3 linked regions of the Callithrix jacchus genome follow. The protein of the gene in region 2 interacts with the protein of the main gene of each other region in a biochemical or structural test. Links are inferred from orthologs where the notes say so. Each region holds a gene or a part of one and is shown on either strand. Other genes may lie near its edges.

What was found.
Region 1: the proteins of BLNK (region 2) and CD79A form a complex in vitro, tested with the Homo sapiens proteins (2 studies listed by BioGRID). The link is inferred for Callithrix jacchus from reciprocal best matches to the Homo sapiens genes BLNK and CD79A.
Region 3: the proteins of BLNK (region 2) and GRB2 form a complex in vitro, tested with the Homo sapiens proteins (3 studies listed by BioGRID and IntAct, with this or other methods). The link is inferred for Callithrix jacchus from reciprocal best matches to the Homo sapiens genes BLNK and GRB2.

The regions. Positions count from the first base shown.
Region 1 is NC_133523.1:36,905,155-36,909,346, forward strand, and holds the start of CD79A (B-cell antigen receptor complex-associated protein alpha chain), read left to right. Parts: upstream 1-1,229; 5' UTR 1,230-1,254; coding exon 1,255-1,333; intron 1,334-2,923; coding exon 2,924-3,220; intron 3,221-3,444; coding exon 3,445-3,563; intron 3,564-4,192. UniProt on the Homo sapiens protein: Required in cooperation with CD79B for initiation of the signal transduction cascade activated by binding of antigen to the B-cell antigen receptor complex (BCR) which leads to internalization of the complex, trafficking to late endosomes and antigen presentation.
Region 2 is NC_133513.1:89,104,712-89,108,931, reverse strand, and holds the start of BLNK (B-cell linker protein), read left to right. Parts: upstream 1-1,372; 5' UTR 1,373-1,492; coding exon of another isoform or gene 1,493-1,539; intron 1,540-4,220. Other genes in the region: uncharacterized protein LOC118146130, read right to left, coding at 1-119, 461-490. UniProt on the Homo sapiens protein: Functions as a central linker protein, downstream of the B-cell receptor (BCR), bridging the SYK kinase to a multitude of signaling pathways and regulating biological outcomes of B-cell function and development.
Region 3 is NC_133506.1:131,303,631-131,308,019, reverse strand, and holds the start of GRB2 (growth factor receptor-bound protein 2), read left to right. Parts: upstream 1-1,426; 5' UTR 1,427-1,640; intron 1,641-4,389. UniProt on the Homo sapiens protein: Non-enzymatic adapter protein that plays a pivotal role in precisely regulated signaling cascades from cell surface receptors to cellular responses, including signaling transduction and gene expression.

The DNA.
Region 1 (4,192 bases), on a different chromosome or scaffold from region 2:
AGGTGGGCAGATCACAAGGTCAAAAGATCAAGACCATCCTGGCCAACATGGTGAAACCCTGTCTCTACTAAAAATACAAATATTAGCTGGGTGTGGTGGTGCGGGCCTGTAGTCCCAGCTACTCAGGAGACTGAGGCAGGAGAATCGCTTGAACCCAGGAGGCGGAGGTTTCCATAAGCAGAGATTGCACCACTGCTCTCCAGCCTGGTGACAGAGCGAGACTCGGTCTCAAAAAAAAGAATTCCAGTAATGAGCTGATCATGGGTCTAACTCCTTGAATACCGGGAACAAACACCATGTCATATCACATAATGAGACAGGGAGACATTCTGATCCCCATCTCAGAGACAAAAAATGCCAAGGCTGGAAGGATCAAACTGCCCACCTTGTCACATGTTAGCCACGGGGCAGCCTGCCTTACTGATTCTTCATGAGCATTTATAGTGACTAGCATTTACTGAGCACCTATTATGTGCCATTTCTGTGCACCCAGCAACCCCTTTAAGTCCTTGTTTCTTTTTTTTTTCTTTTTGAGATGGAGTCTTGCTCTGTTACCCAGGCTGGAGTGCAATGGCACCATCTCAGCTCACTGCAACCTCAGTCTCCCAAGTTCAAGTGATTCTCCTGCCTCAGCCTCCTGAGTAGCTAGGATTACAGGCACCCACCATGCCCAGCTAATTTTTGTGTTTTTTGGTAGAGATGGGAGTTTCACCATATTGTTCAGGCTGGTCTTGAACTCCTGACCTCGTGATCAGCCTGCCTCGACCTCCCAAAGTGCCGGGATTACAGACGTGAGCCACCGCGCCCAGCCTTAAGTCATTGTTTCTAATCCCAAGAAGCAAGGAAATGGCGTCAGGGAAGGAACAAGGTTTGCCCAAGGTCAGGCAGGGGCAGAGGTCAAGCTCAGAACCCTCACCTGCCCAGAGCACGTGACCAGGACTCAGGCTCTCTAGGCTTCCTTCCAAAGGCTCAGCAGTGATGACCCAGCCCTTGAACCAGCCTCTACCCCTACCCAGGCAGCCACCTCTCAGGGGAATTGTGGCCACCGCAGGTGCAGGGAGCACTTCCTCTCTACTCATGGCCTGAAGCATACCCGGCAGGGGCTGTCCCCAGGCCCAACGAGCAAAGGACCCAGCAGCGAGGACCACTAGAGCCCATCTCCGGGGGGCTGGGCAGGAAATAGGGTGGGGTTTGGGTAGGGAGCTGGTACCCCAGGACTGCTGCAGCTCAAACTAACGCATCGACCGGGAGAAGATGCCTGGGGGTCTCGGAGTCCTCCAAGCTCTGCCTGCCTCCATATTCCTCCTCTTCCTGCTGTCTGCTGCCTACCTGGGTATGTGGCCAATGGGCAGGAACTGGGGGGAGGAGGGGGAAGCCGTGGAGGCTGCAGAGAGGGCACAGGCAGCGGGAAGGGGGCTCAGGAGAGGGGAATAGGAGGCAGAGAGCACAGAGCCAGGGAAGACACCTGTAGAAATCGGGTCTGTTCCATGCTGGGCAAAGATGCGGCTGGAGAGAGCCCAGCGAAGGAAAATGGGGGTCCAGAGCCCCACGGAGGGAGGCAGGAGCAAGCGTCACCTCCCCCACCTCCTGTAAAAGAAGGAACTAAAGCCGCTCTTGACTGAGCACCAGGGCTGCAGGCAGGAAGGGCAGTGGGGCTAGCAGCGTTCAGTGTCTGACAAGGGGAGAAAAACCTTTCTCTGCCTTAAACCTCAGGCGCCACCCTGTGTTGGGAGCCCCTTCTCAGCACTGGGGGATCTGATGCCTCATGGACCCCCCTTGCCCACCCAAGGCCAGCGCGTGGCCATGCTACCCCAGGAGCTCAGAGGTTTCTCGGTTTCTCAGGGTAACTGGAGTTCCCACCTGAGTCCTAAGCCCATGCCAACGAGGGTGCTTGGCCCCTCTCCCTACCTCTTCTTCCTTCTCTTTTCCCCACCTCCCTCCTCCGACTGCTTCCAGAAGAAGAGGCCGGCCATGTGGGTGGCCTGGCTGAGATCTGGGGCTTCCCAGAGGAGCCCCGGATTGGACGCTGCAGTCAGCCTGAGCCACCCCGACTCAGACACCCACAACCTCCACCCTGCTGAGGGCGTTCACTCACCACCAGCCCAGCCCAAGGACTGAACTCACCCCTGACCCTGAAGTTGAAACATACAAGTTACAGAGAATGAGGGACGGGCACAGGGTCACAGGCCAGGGCAGGCCACAGATAGGCTCCTCAGCCCAGGCAGGAAGAGGCCAGGGAGCCAGGAGTTTGAACCCAGTGCCACTCCTGATTGCCTGGTGATGCTGGCAACTCGCCTGCCCTCCCTGGGCCTCAGTCATCCCTCCCGTAAAGTGGGGTTAAGGAAAGAACCTACTGCTAGGGTTCTGTGAGGATTACCAAGAAAAAGCACCAGGTGCAGAGTCTCACTGAGGCTGGGGTGGGAAAATGGACTGGGAAGGCTGTGGGAGGAGGGGATGCCTGCCTGCTTCTGGAAAGAGCTGTCTGGACGCAGCCTCCAGTTCCTAGAACAAACATCCAAAAGCCAGTGAGTTCTCAGGCCAGAGCACAAAGTGGGTATGCAGGAGGGGGGCAGGAGATGGCACTGCAGAGGTGACAAGGGCCTCCCAGGGGTCTCACTATCCCAGAGAGTCTCATTCTCCTCCCCCAGGATGTCCTCACCCACCCCAACCCCTGTGTCCTCTCTCCTTTCCCAGGGGCATCTTCACTCTCCTGCATCCGCCTCTCCCCAAGATGCATCAGCCCCTCTCAGGGGCTCTCCCTCCTCCTCCAGACCCAGGAGAGTCCTCGCCCTCCTCCCCTCCCCCCATGAGTGTCCTCACCCTCCTCCCCACCCCTCCCAGGAGTGCTGGAGCTGTAAGGGCAGGGCTGCGGGCCTGTGTCGCCATGCCCAGTCCCTGACCCACCTACCCTGCCTCTCCGCAGGCCCTGGGTGCCAGGCCCTGTGGGTGCACAAGGGCCCAACATCGTTGATGGCAAGCCTGGGGGAAGAGGCCCACCTACAGTGCCTTCACAATGGCAGTAACACCAACGTCACCTGGTGGCGTGTCCTCCACGGCAACTACACGTGGCCCCCGGTGTTCGTCGGCCTGGGCCAGGGTGTCAACGGTACGCTGACCATCCAGAACGTGAACAAGAGCCACGGAGGCATATACATGTGCCGTGTCCAGGAGGGCAACAAGCCATACCAGCAGTCCTGCGGCACCTACCTCCGCGTGCGCCGTGAGTGGCCTGGCCCTGGCCCCTACCCCCACTCTCCCGCTGGGGACACTCAGTTTATCTTTGAAGTGTGGAGGGGATATACCCAGTACCTTCTTTGTGGGTTTCAAACTGGCTCGGACGAGGGACTGACGATCTCCTCTGCAGAGTGGGGATTTCGGGGGGCCCGGGGCCTTGCAGAGGTTGGGCAGATGTGCCAGGGCTTTAAGCTTCCTACCTCCTTGCAGACCCGCCCCCCAGGCCCTTCCTGGACATGGGGGAGGGCACCAAGAACCGCATCATCACAGCCGAGGGGATTATCCTCCTGTTCTGCGCAGTGGTGCCTGGAACGCTGCTGCTGTTCAGGGTGAGTCTGCTGGGACCCCCGAGTTGGCGGGTAAGGGCCTGGGCTGAAGGACTCCCAATGCCCAGGTGGCCCTCTAGAGCCTAAAGTTCTCCATCCAAAACTTGGAAGAAGAAAGCACCCATTGCACAGGAGCTGTGGAAGTTAAATGAATGAATATAAAGAAGGGACTTGGGCCGGACATGGTGGCTCACACCTGTAATCCCAACACACTGGGAGGCCAAGGCGGAAGGATCACTTGTGGTCAGGGGTTCGAGACTAGCCTGAACAATATGGCGAAACCCCGTCTCTACTAAAAAAAATTCAAAAATAACCGGGTGTGGTGGCGGGTGCTTGTAATCCCAGCTACTCCAGAGGCTAAGGCAGGAGAATTGCTTGAACACAGGAGGCAGAGGTTGCGGTGAGCCGAGATTGTGCTATTACACTCCGGCCTGGAGGACAAGAACAATACTCTATCTCAAAAAAAAAAAAAAAAAAAAAGGGACTCGAACTGGCGCTGGGCCCAGGGGGTGTCTTCAATTTAGTTTCCCCTTCAGGGCTGTCCTCACATCCACCTCCCGCTGAAAAGAGTCTCACTCTTCCCCCAAGAGTGTCTTCACTCTCCTCCTGCCCTCACCCAGGAGTGTAGTTAC
Region 2 (4,220 bases):
CCTTCTCCTCCTCCTGTGTCTCCTCCTCCTGTGTCTCCTCCTCCTCTGTCTCCTTTCTCCTCCTTGTCTTCCTCTACCTCTTTCTCCTCTTTCCCCCCATCTTCAGCCAGATCTTGGATCTGTAACAGGAGGGGTAACTGGGAGCCCTTTGCTTTGTCCTGCTGTGTATTCTTCGGACCCAGGAGAAGACTGGTTCCCTTGATAAATGTTGGAAATGTGCACTTTATTCCACAAGGGTGAGCAGGACATTCTAGATGGCTACAGGAAAGTGTGCCTAGGTACAAAAAGTCCTTCCCATTTTCTTCCTCCCTGACCCTAGACTGTAGTCTGCTCTCTAAACAACAGATAAATCAGCATTTTTCAGATCAGGCAGAAGGAAATGTAAAGTCTTCCAGGAGGGAAGTAGAGTTCTCTGAAGGGTTCAGCCCCTACAGGTATGGTTCCTTCCTCCCAGCCTCACCTCATCTGTCTGGGCTTGAGATGGCCCCATGTCTGATGTGTCACTGGGTCTGATAAGCAAGCTGTGGACAGGGCAGGAAGAGGCAAACACAAGGAGGGGAGTGGCATTCTGCTTTTAGAAGGACTTCAGAATGGCCTGATGTCAGAATTGCATTGTTGGGAAATTGCTAGATTTGTTCTCAGCTGACTTTTGGGTACATCCTGGTTTGTTTGAAAGTTATCAGCAAGGTAACTCCTGACTCTAACAGTTAGTAAGGAGGCTGCACATCTTATGATGGAGATCATCTACCCTTTCCTGGGTCACCCATCCCTACCCCCAGATGAACAGATAATTGCCCATTCCATTTTAAATAGAGCTCCAGAAAAAGATAGACTCTAACTCTCTGTGTAAACTGTACCACCATGTCACTGCCCTCCTGATATTTATTTTTAAATATATTGCCGGCAAAGAGTAGGGGGAGGAAAAAACACAAAAACGCCATTTTTATATAATGATTCTATAAGTAGAAAAAGCTTATCCATGACTTTATGCAAATAAGCAGAAAATCTCCAGGAGATGTTCAGATAGAATTGATTACTCTGCTTTTCCTTGAGCCCAGGAAGTTCCCAGTCACAGCACGCACCTGCTGGAAACAGACTACATGTATTTGGGACAAACAGGAAGTCGTGATCAGCCAGAAGCTTGTCCCAACCTGGTTACAAATCTGATTATAAAAGAAAGCAGCTGGAAAGAAATCTGCATGCCCAATAGGTTTCACTATTAAAGTTTACACAACGTGGAGTAATCAACAAGCTGGCTGGCTATCCAGATCACATGATTATGTAGAAACATGAAACTTGACTATGTGCTCGGGCAAGTTTTACTTCTCCCTAGAGCAGGGGTGTTTGCCAGCAGCCTGCGCTCTCAGAAATCAGACTCAAGTGGCCGGAACCCTTGAGACCAGGGACTTGACATGCTGCTCCCTAGGAGGGCCAGGAACTGCTGACGTGACCACTGGACAGTTATTTGTGTCTCTTACAATTACCAAACAGAATGGACAAGCTTAATAAAATAACCATCCCCGCCAGTCAGAAGTTGAGGTAAGATTTCCCCCACCCAATACTTATCCTTCTTCACCTCCTTCTCCCCCTGCCATGCTCTTATGGCGTCTCAGAAATATTGAAATCCTGGAATGCTTTGCTAGTCTTCAGTGGGTGGCACTTGCCATAGGGAAGTGGACTGAGCTTTTAGGGAAAGCATTGGGTGGCACTCACTATAGGAAGTGGACTGAGTTCTTTAAAAATGTGTAGGAGCAAGAGAGATTTGCTTTAGCTGGCCCTTACAATAAAGTGTAAAGCTCTGGAAAGATAATAAAACAGAAATGCCAAGGGCTTAGATTCTACGGAAGGTCAGCTTTCAGAGTCTGAATGCAACCAACTTTCTAAGGAAGGGTTTCTCTAAACTGAATCCTCACCCATTTTATCGCAGGTTGCTATTTAATTTTAAGGATAGCTGTAATCATTTGTTATTCATTGTTTTACTCTCTCATTTATTTTGTGGGTGTATATTATGAGTGTGCTTGGGGGGATTAGATCTGTCTTTCCAACGCCCTCATGTTAATGTAACAATGATCTGTAACAAACCTCTTAGAAAGAATAAACCAGAAGCGGCCCCACAAGCGTGAGTCAAGGAGCTATGGAAAAGACAACTTCCCCAAATTTTGCTTTTGAAGGTCTTCTTTTTGTCTCATTGTAATGGCGTCGTGGCTTTTGGAGACCGAAACTTTTAAATTTCAGGGAGTGTTTTATATTCTGACTACTGTTGGCACTTAGCCAGACGTTCAGGGGATGATGTGACATGTGTAGCAGACAAGTAATCACAGATAACACGGAGCCAGAGAATCGAAGCTTTTGAGACAACATTTAAGAGCGAGTCTGGAATTGGCAGAGGGACAGCCTTTCATAGTAGAATACAAGTCCTATGTCTAGGAGGTGCTTAGTAGGAGGTAATATGAAATGAACTGATGATCTGGGATCAATAGGCAGCATTGACTGCGTTCAACCATTTCATGCACGGGCTGAGTGCTGCTGAGTGATCAGCACTGATGGGACAAGAAGGCACTTCAGTCTTGCCCTTGGTCTCAAATAGCTACACCCTCATGAGGGGCAGGGGTGATACAATGGAAGCTGTAAGTGACTGAAAGAATGTAAGAATAGACTTAAAGTAGCAGGAGGAGATTTCATAGAGAAGATACTTTAGAGGTGGGCTTTGAGAGGTGAGTAAAATGATAAACGAGCTGGAGAATTGGAGGAAACATGTTATGTGCTGGGAGGAAGGAAATACAGAAGTGGTCACTTGAAGCTTAACACAAGTATGGTCCATATATGGGATGATGAGGAGAGTTTTCTGTCCAACAGAAGCTATAGAGTTGGGCATGTGGAACCCAAAGGTCCTGGTATGATTGGACACATAGGGTGGGTCTACGTTGCAAAGGATGGTGAGGGCCCTAACCATAGGGAGTTGAAGAACAGGTTACGCTGTTAGTGATGTCGTGACAGCAGGCTTAAAGGAGGCCGGTAGGATGCGTTGGAGTGGAAGGGTCACTGGAGGCAGGGATCTGGTGGAAGGGAGAAGCACTTAAGTAACCCAAGCATCCAGGGTGGTAGGCCTGGACTTGAGACACAGCATGAGAAGGAAGAGGGAAGGAGAGGAAGAAAGACATGCAAAGAAACTAGGCACTCTCCTCTCAAATGAGCAGGAGGGTTCCAAATTTTTTTTAGACATATTCCATAATGAAGAACTATACAGAAATGTAGAACCTCTTTCAGGGAATCCAGATGAGAATTTAAATAAAGGTACTAGAACTTAAATCTTTTTATGATTCCTCCCTTTGAGACAAAGTCCAGCTTGATCACAGAGCAGTTGATGGGCAATATACGACCACAGATTATGGGATAGAAAACCAAAATTATACCATAGATAATCGTATGGTACACTTATCTGCTTACATAAAAGTAACATTTTTCCTACTTGATTACTCAGTCGTCTTTATAGAATCGTCCTGTTTTGGTAAATGTACACTGTTGACGTGGAACTTTTCAAAGAAATGAAATTGTAAATTCAGTGGGCTCAAAGGGCCATCTTAATTATTTTTCGTAATTAGATGGATGAGATGGCAAGGAGTTGATAGATGAAATACCTACCTCCTGTGATTTGTGTCCTCTGTCCTGATTGGCTGACGTAAATTCTGAAGGTTGATTAACCATGTAATTATTTGGTACCAGATGACAGTAAAAGTGGACAGTTATGTTTACACTTTTAGGCTTAGGTGAGAATTTGCTCAAATCCTTAGCCACAAAAACAGAAAGACAGTGAGTCTTTCTGAAATATAGGGGACTGAAAGGAATGACCTTGATCCAGGGAATGTATTCTCAGGACTGAAAAGAGAGTGGAGCAGAAAGTATTGCTAGGAGGAGAGGGAAAGTAGAGTCATCCAAGGGAGGGAGGGCATGCAGGATTGGAAGGAAATGAGGAATTCTTTTTTTTTTTTTTTTTAATTTTTTATTGGATTATAGGTTTTGGGGTACATGAGCAGAGCATGCAAGACAGTTGCGTAGGTACACACATGGCAGTGTGCTTTGCTTTTCTTCTCCCCTTCACCCACAGAGAGATGCAAATCAAAACCACATTGAGATACCATCTCACGCCAGTTAGAATGGCGATCATTAAAAAATCTGGAGACAACAGATGCTGGAGAGGATGTGGAGAAAAAGGAACACTT
Region 3 (4,389 bases), on a different chromosome or scaffold from region 2:
ATTTATCCTGCAAAGCCCCTTGCATACAGGTGATGCTCAATAAAAACTTGGTGAAAGAACATTTCAACATTTCATTTTCTGTGTTTCTTTCTTTCTTTTTTGAGACGGAGTTTCGCTCTTGTTACCCAGGCTGGAGTGTAATGGCACGATCTCGGCTCAAGGCAACCTCTGTCTCCTGGGTTCAGGCAATTCTCCTGCCTCAGCCTCCTGAGTAGCTGGGATTACAGGCATGCACCACCATGCCCAGCTAATTTTTTGTATTTTTAGTAGAGACAGGGTTTCACCATGTTGACCAGGATGGTCTCGATCTCTTGACCTCATGATCCACCCGCCTCGGCCTCCCAAAGTGCCGGGATTACAGGCTTGAGCCACCGTGCCCGGCTCATTTTCTGTGTTTCAATGGGCTTGTTTCCTCTGTACAATCAGATGCTTGGTTATTCTCATCTCAACGCTATTTTTTTGGCTTCCAGAAGACACATTAACACTAGGTGTGTTCTGTTCTATCCTTTAATTGGAAAGAGCTTTGATAACTGAAAAACAAGAATTATTTACCGAAGCCTCATCTTCTGCCACTCCCCCATACTCACCGGCCTCATACAGGAATTGAACTACTTAGCACTGCACAGCACACGACTTTCACGCCTCCGTTCCGCTGTACTTAGCCTCTGTACTTACGTGCCATTCCCTTTCCCTGAAATGCCCTTACTCTGGCTTCTCTGCCTGGCAAACTCCTACTCATCCCCCAAGACTCAGCTTAGACATCGCCGCATCACCTCTGTAAAGGCTCTTTTGCAATGGGCAGAGTAGCCATTCTTCTTCCATCTTTTTAGCTTTCTCAGCAAACTCCAAATAACAGTACTTATGGCATTATTTGTTTATTTTTCTCTGCTTCCCTAGACCGTAAATTCCTTAAGGACCAGGATTTCTGTTCTATATCCAGCACAGTGTTCAGCCTATATTAGGCACATAATTAAATAAATGAGTAAACAAACCCACCAATCATTCAACATTGCAGAGTTTGTACGGATTCTCAAATATTTCAAGACCTGGTCTTCTGTTTGGAGTGCTTCAGGCTGGAAACTCTCTTCCTCCCCCCAGCCCCCATCCATATCCAATTGCCTTGGTTTGGTAGAGGAGAAAAGAAAGTGATTAGACGGGGTAAGAATTTATTCCTTCAGGACTAAGCTGTTATTTACCCGCTCTGGTACCGAGAGGGTTACGGCGACCCAGGGGCGGAGCCGTGACGAGGCCACCTGCTGCGGGCGGTCTGGCGCATGCGCCCTGGGGCCTAGCTAGTCACTACCTGCCGGAGCCCGGCCCAGGAGGAGCGCTTGCGCTTTGGGCGTTTTCCGCCGGGGGAAGTCTCGCGGGGGCGGGGCGGGGCGGGGCCTCGTGGAGAAGTTCTCGCGGGACACCCACGGCGAGCGGAAGCGAGGCGGCTCTGCTGCTTCGGCGACCGGGCGGCGGCGGCGGCGGCGGCGGCGGCTGTGGCTGAGGCTGTGTCTGTGTCTGTTTCTGTGTCTGTGACCGTGACGGCGGCGGGAGCAAGCGCCGCCCTCGCGGAGCAGCCTCGGGGTCGGCGGCCGCTCTCAGCGTTGAGGTGGGTCAGGCCCGACGCGGAGCGGACTAGCTGCGCCACGGTGAGTGCGGGCGGCTGCGCTCGGCGCCGCTCCTGTGTCTCTTCCTCTCCGCTCTGCGACGGGAGTGGGCCCTGGGGGAACCGGGACCCCGGCCCTTGGGGTCGGGTCGGGGCGGCGAAGCTCGGGACGCGGAGTGGAATGCCCAAGGCTCTGGACTCTGCGTTTCCCCTTTTGGGGCGCTTCCTTCCTGGGGAACGTCCTCCTCCGGCTCTCGGCTGTCTGTGCAGTGTCCGGGAGCCCGGGGGTAGAAGTCGGGGCTCCCTCGTGAAGTCCCCTGCCTTCGTCGGAAGGGTTTGCACGAAAGGGGCCTGGGAAGCCCGGAAGGGCAAAACCCCGACTGAGTCAGTCCGCCCGATCCCGGCGGCGGGGGACTTGGTGTGGGCTGCAGCTGTGGTGATTGATGCGCCTCCGACCTGCATGACAACCACGTCACCATCTCTTGGCGTCTTTGGGCTTAATTTTGTGCGGGAATCCACGGTGGGGTAGAACGTTCATCTCCCCGGGGGAGATGTCTTTATTCTGAGACTTAAAAAAAAATTATTTGAAAAATTAAGCAGCAGCAGGTTGGACTGCACCGAGGAAACATTGCGGCGAGAGCGGGCGCTGGTAATTTTCATTTGCAGCGCGCCCTCTCTGTGATTGTAAACCACATATGAGTTATGGCTTGTTTGGAAAGTTTTTCAAGCCTGGCTTCAAAGGCTATGAAAGTGCAGTTTGCAGAGGACTGAAGTGCATTTGAGGTGTGTCTCTTCTTGATGCTGTTGACTTTCAGAAATGTCAGACACATGAGAGAAATCAGCATTAGTCCCTGGCTTTCTTAACCCCTCTTTCACTCAGTACTTCTCCAGTTATTTCCTTACCTCTCTATCTACTTCTGTCCATTCCACTAGGGACAAGAAGTGCTTGTGTAATGCAAGTCATTTGCCCCTTCCTTCCCCCACCCCCCTCTTTTTTTTTTCTAATCTACTTCCCCTTCCTCCTTGGTAGTCCCCACTCTGGCGTAATTTTTCGAGGTTTCTTCCCTTTCGCACTGTTAGTTTTCTCTGATTTCAAGATTCCGTCCTTTTTCTCGGGAAGAGATCCTCTTTCCTGCTTTGGTGCCTTTACTTTTGCGCTTTCCCCTGCGTTCGCTAGTCAGCCAGAAGGGTTGCTAGAGAGCCATTGGAGGCTGAGGTTCCCCCGCTGAGAAGGGGGTGGGGGGCTCAAAAGATTGAATTCAGCCGGGTGCGGTGGCTCCCGCCTGTAATCCCAGCACTTTGTCAAGAGATCCAGACCATCCTGGCCAACATGGTGAAATCCCGCCTGTACTAAAAATAAAAAAATTACCTGGGTGTGGTGGCGCGCGCCTGTAGTCCCAGCTACTCGAGGCTGAGGCAGAAAAATCGCTTCAACCCGGGAGACGGAGATTGCAGTGAGCTCAGATCGCACCACTGCACTTCAGCCTGGCGACAGAGCGAGACTCCGTCTCAAAAAAAAGATTGAATTAATCCCTAAGAATTCAGTCCTGCCACTAGGTTACAAGTGTGGTTTGTTTGTTGTTTTGTGTTTTAGTTTTTTAAGATTATGCTTTTGTACCTATTTATGCTTTCTTCCAGTATGTCTTTATAATAGTAAGGAATATTGGGTCAGCTCAGGGCTTATGTGACTTTTTGACTTTTAGTGGGGGGTGTTAATGTTAAAAAGTGAAGGTCAACTATAAGTCTATATTAGGTTAAAATAGTCTGAAAAATGTAAGAGGCTAGAACTGATTTAGACCATCGAATTAGTTGAAGCCTGCGCGTTGTAGTAGTACTAATTTATTCTTTGTTAGGCTTTTAGTTAAAAATCAGGGATCTTTTTTCTGCATCTATTATAACTGGCCTTCGTTGTTGTTTTTGACAAAGAAATCTCTATTTGCTCCTTCCCAAGTTCAAAATGTTCCCAATCTCAAGATTTAAAAGAGTTAATTCTTATGATCAGCTATCTCCTAGTATGTATGTATGTATGTATGTATTTATTTATTTATCTATCTGAGACGAGTCTCACTCTTGCACAGGCTGGAGTGAGTGGTGCTGAGGATCTCGGTTCACTGCAGCCTCCACCTCCTGGGTTCAAGCACTCTTGTGCCTCACCTTCCCAAGTAGCTAGGATTACAGGCTCTCACCACCACACCTGGCTAATTTTTGTATTTGGTGGAGACGGGGTTTCACCATGTTGGCCGCGCTGGTCTCGAACTCCTAACCTCAAGTGATCTGCCTGCCTCAGCCTCCCTAAGTACTGAAATTACAGGTGTGAGCTCCTGTGCGGAGCCTAAACTCAGACATTTAAATGTTTGAGGCACTTAACTTGTCAGCAAGTTATTCCGATTTGAGAGGTTTGCTGGGTTTTAAGTACTACCAGTTGCTGGTACTTAGAGATTCTTTTCAGTAATTCCTGTTATGTTGCATATTGTGCATTGGAGTTCTAATTGTTGCATAGAACAGAAGAGCAAAGGATTTTGGAGAAAGGAAGTAATACAGAATAGAGTCACCATGCTCTCCTGAGAGAAATTAATTCTTAACTGCTTAATTCAGAGGAAGTCTCCGCCATTACCAAGTGGCTTTTGAGAGTGTATTTTTGTGTGTGTGTCAAAGTTGCCTTTTTCCCAGTTGTGCCAAGTGAATATACGTTATTTTCATTTCATGCAAGGACGTTGTAGTGCATTATCTGGAATGCAAATTTTAAAATCTGGTTAAGGCATCCTTATGGTACAGCAGTGATTGAAAATTCA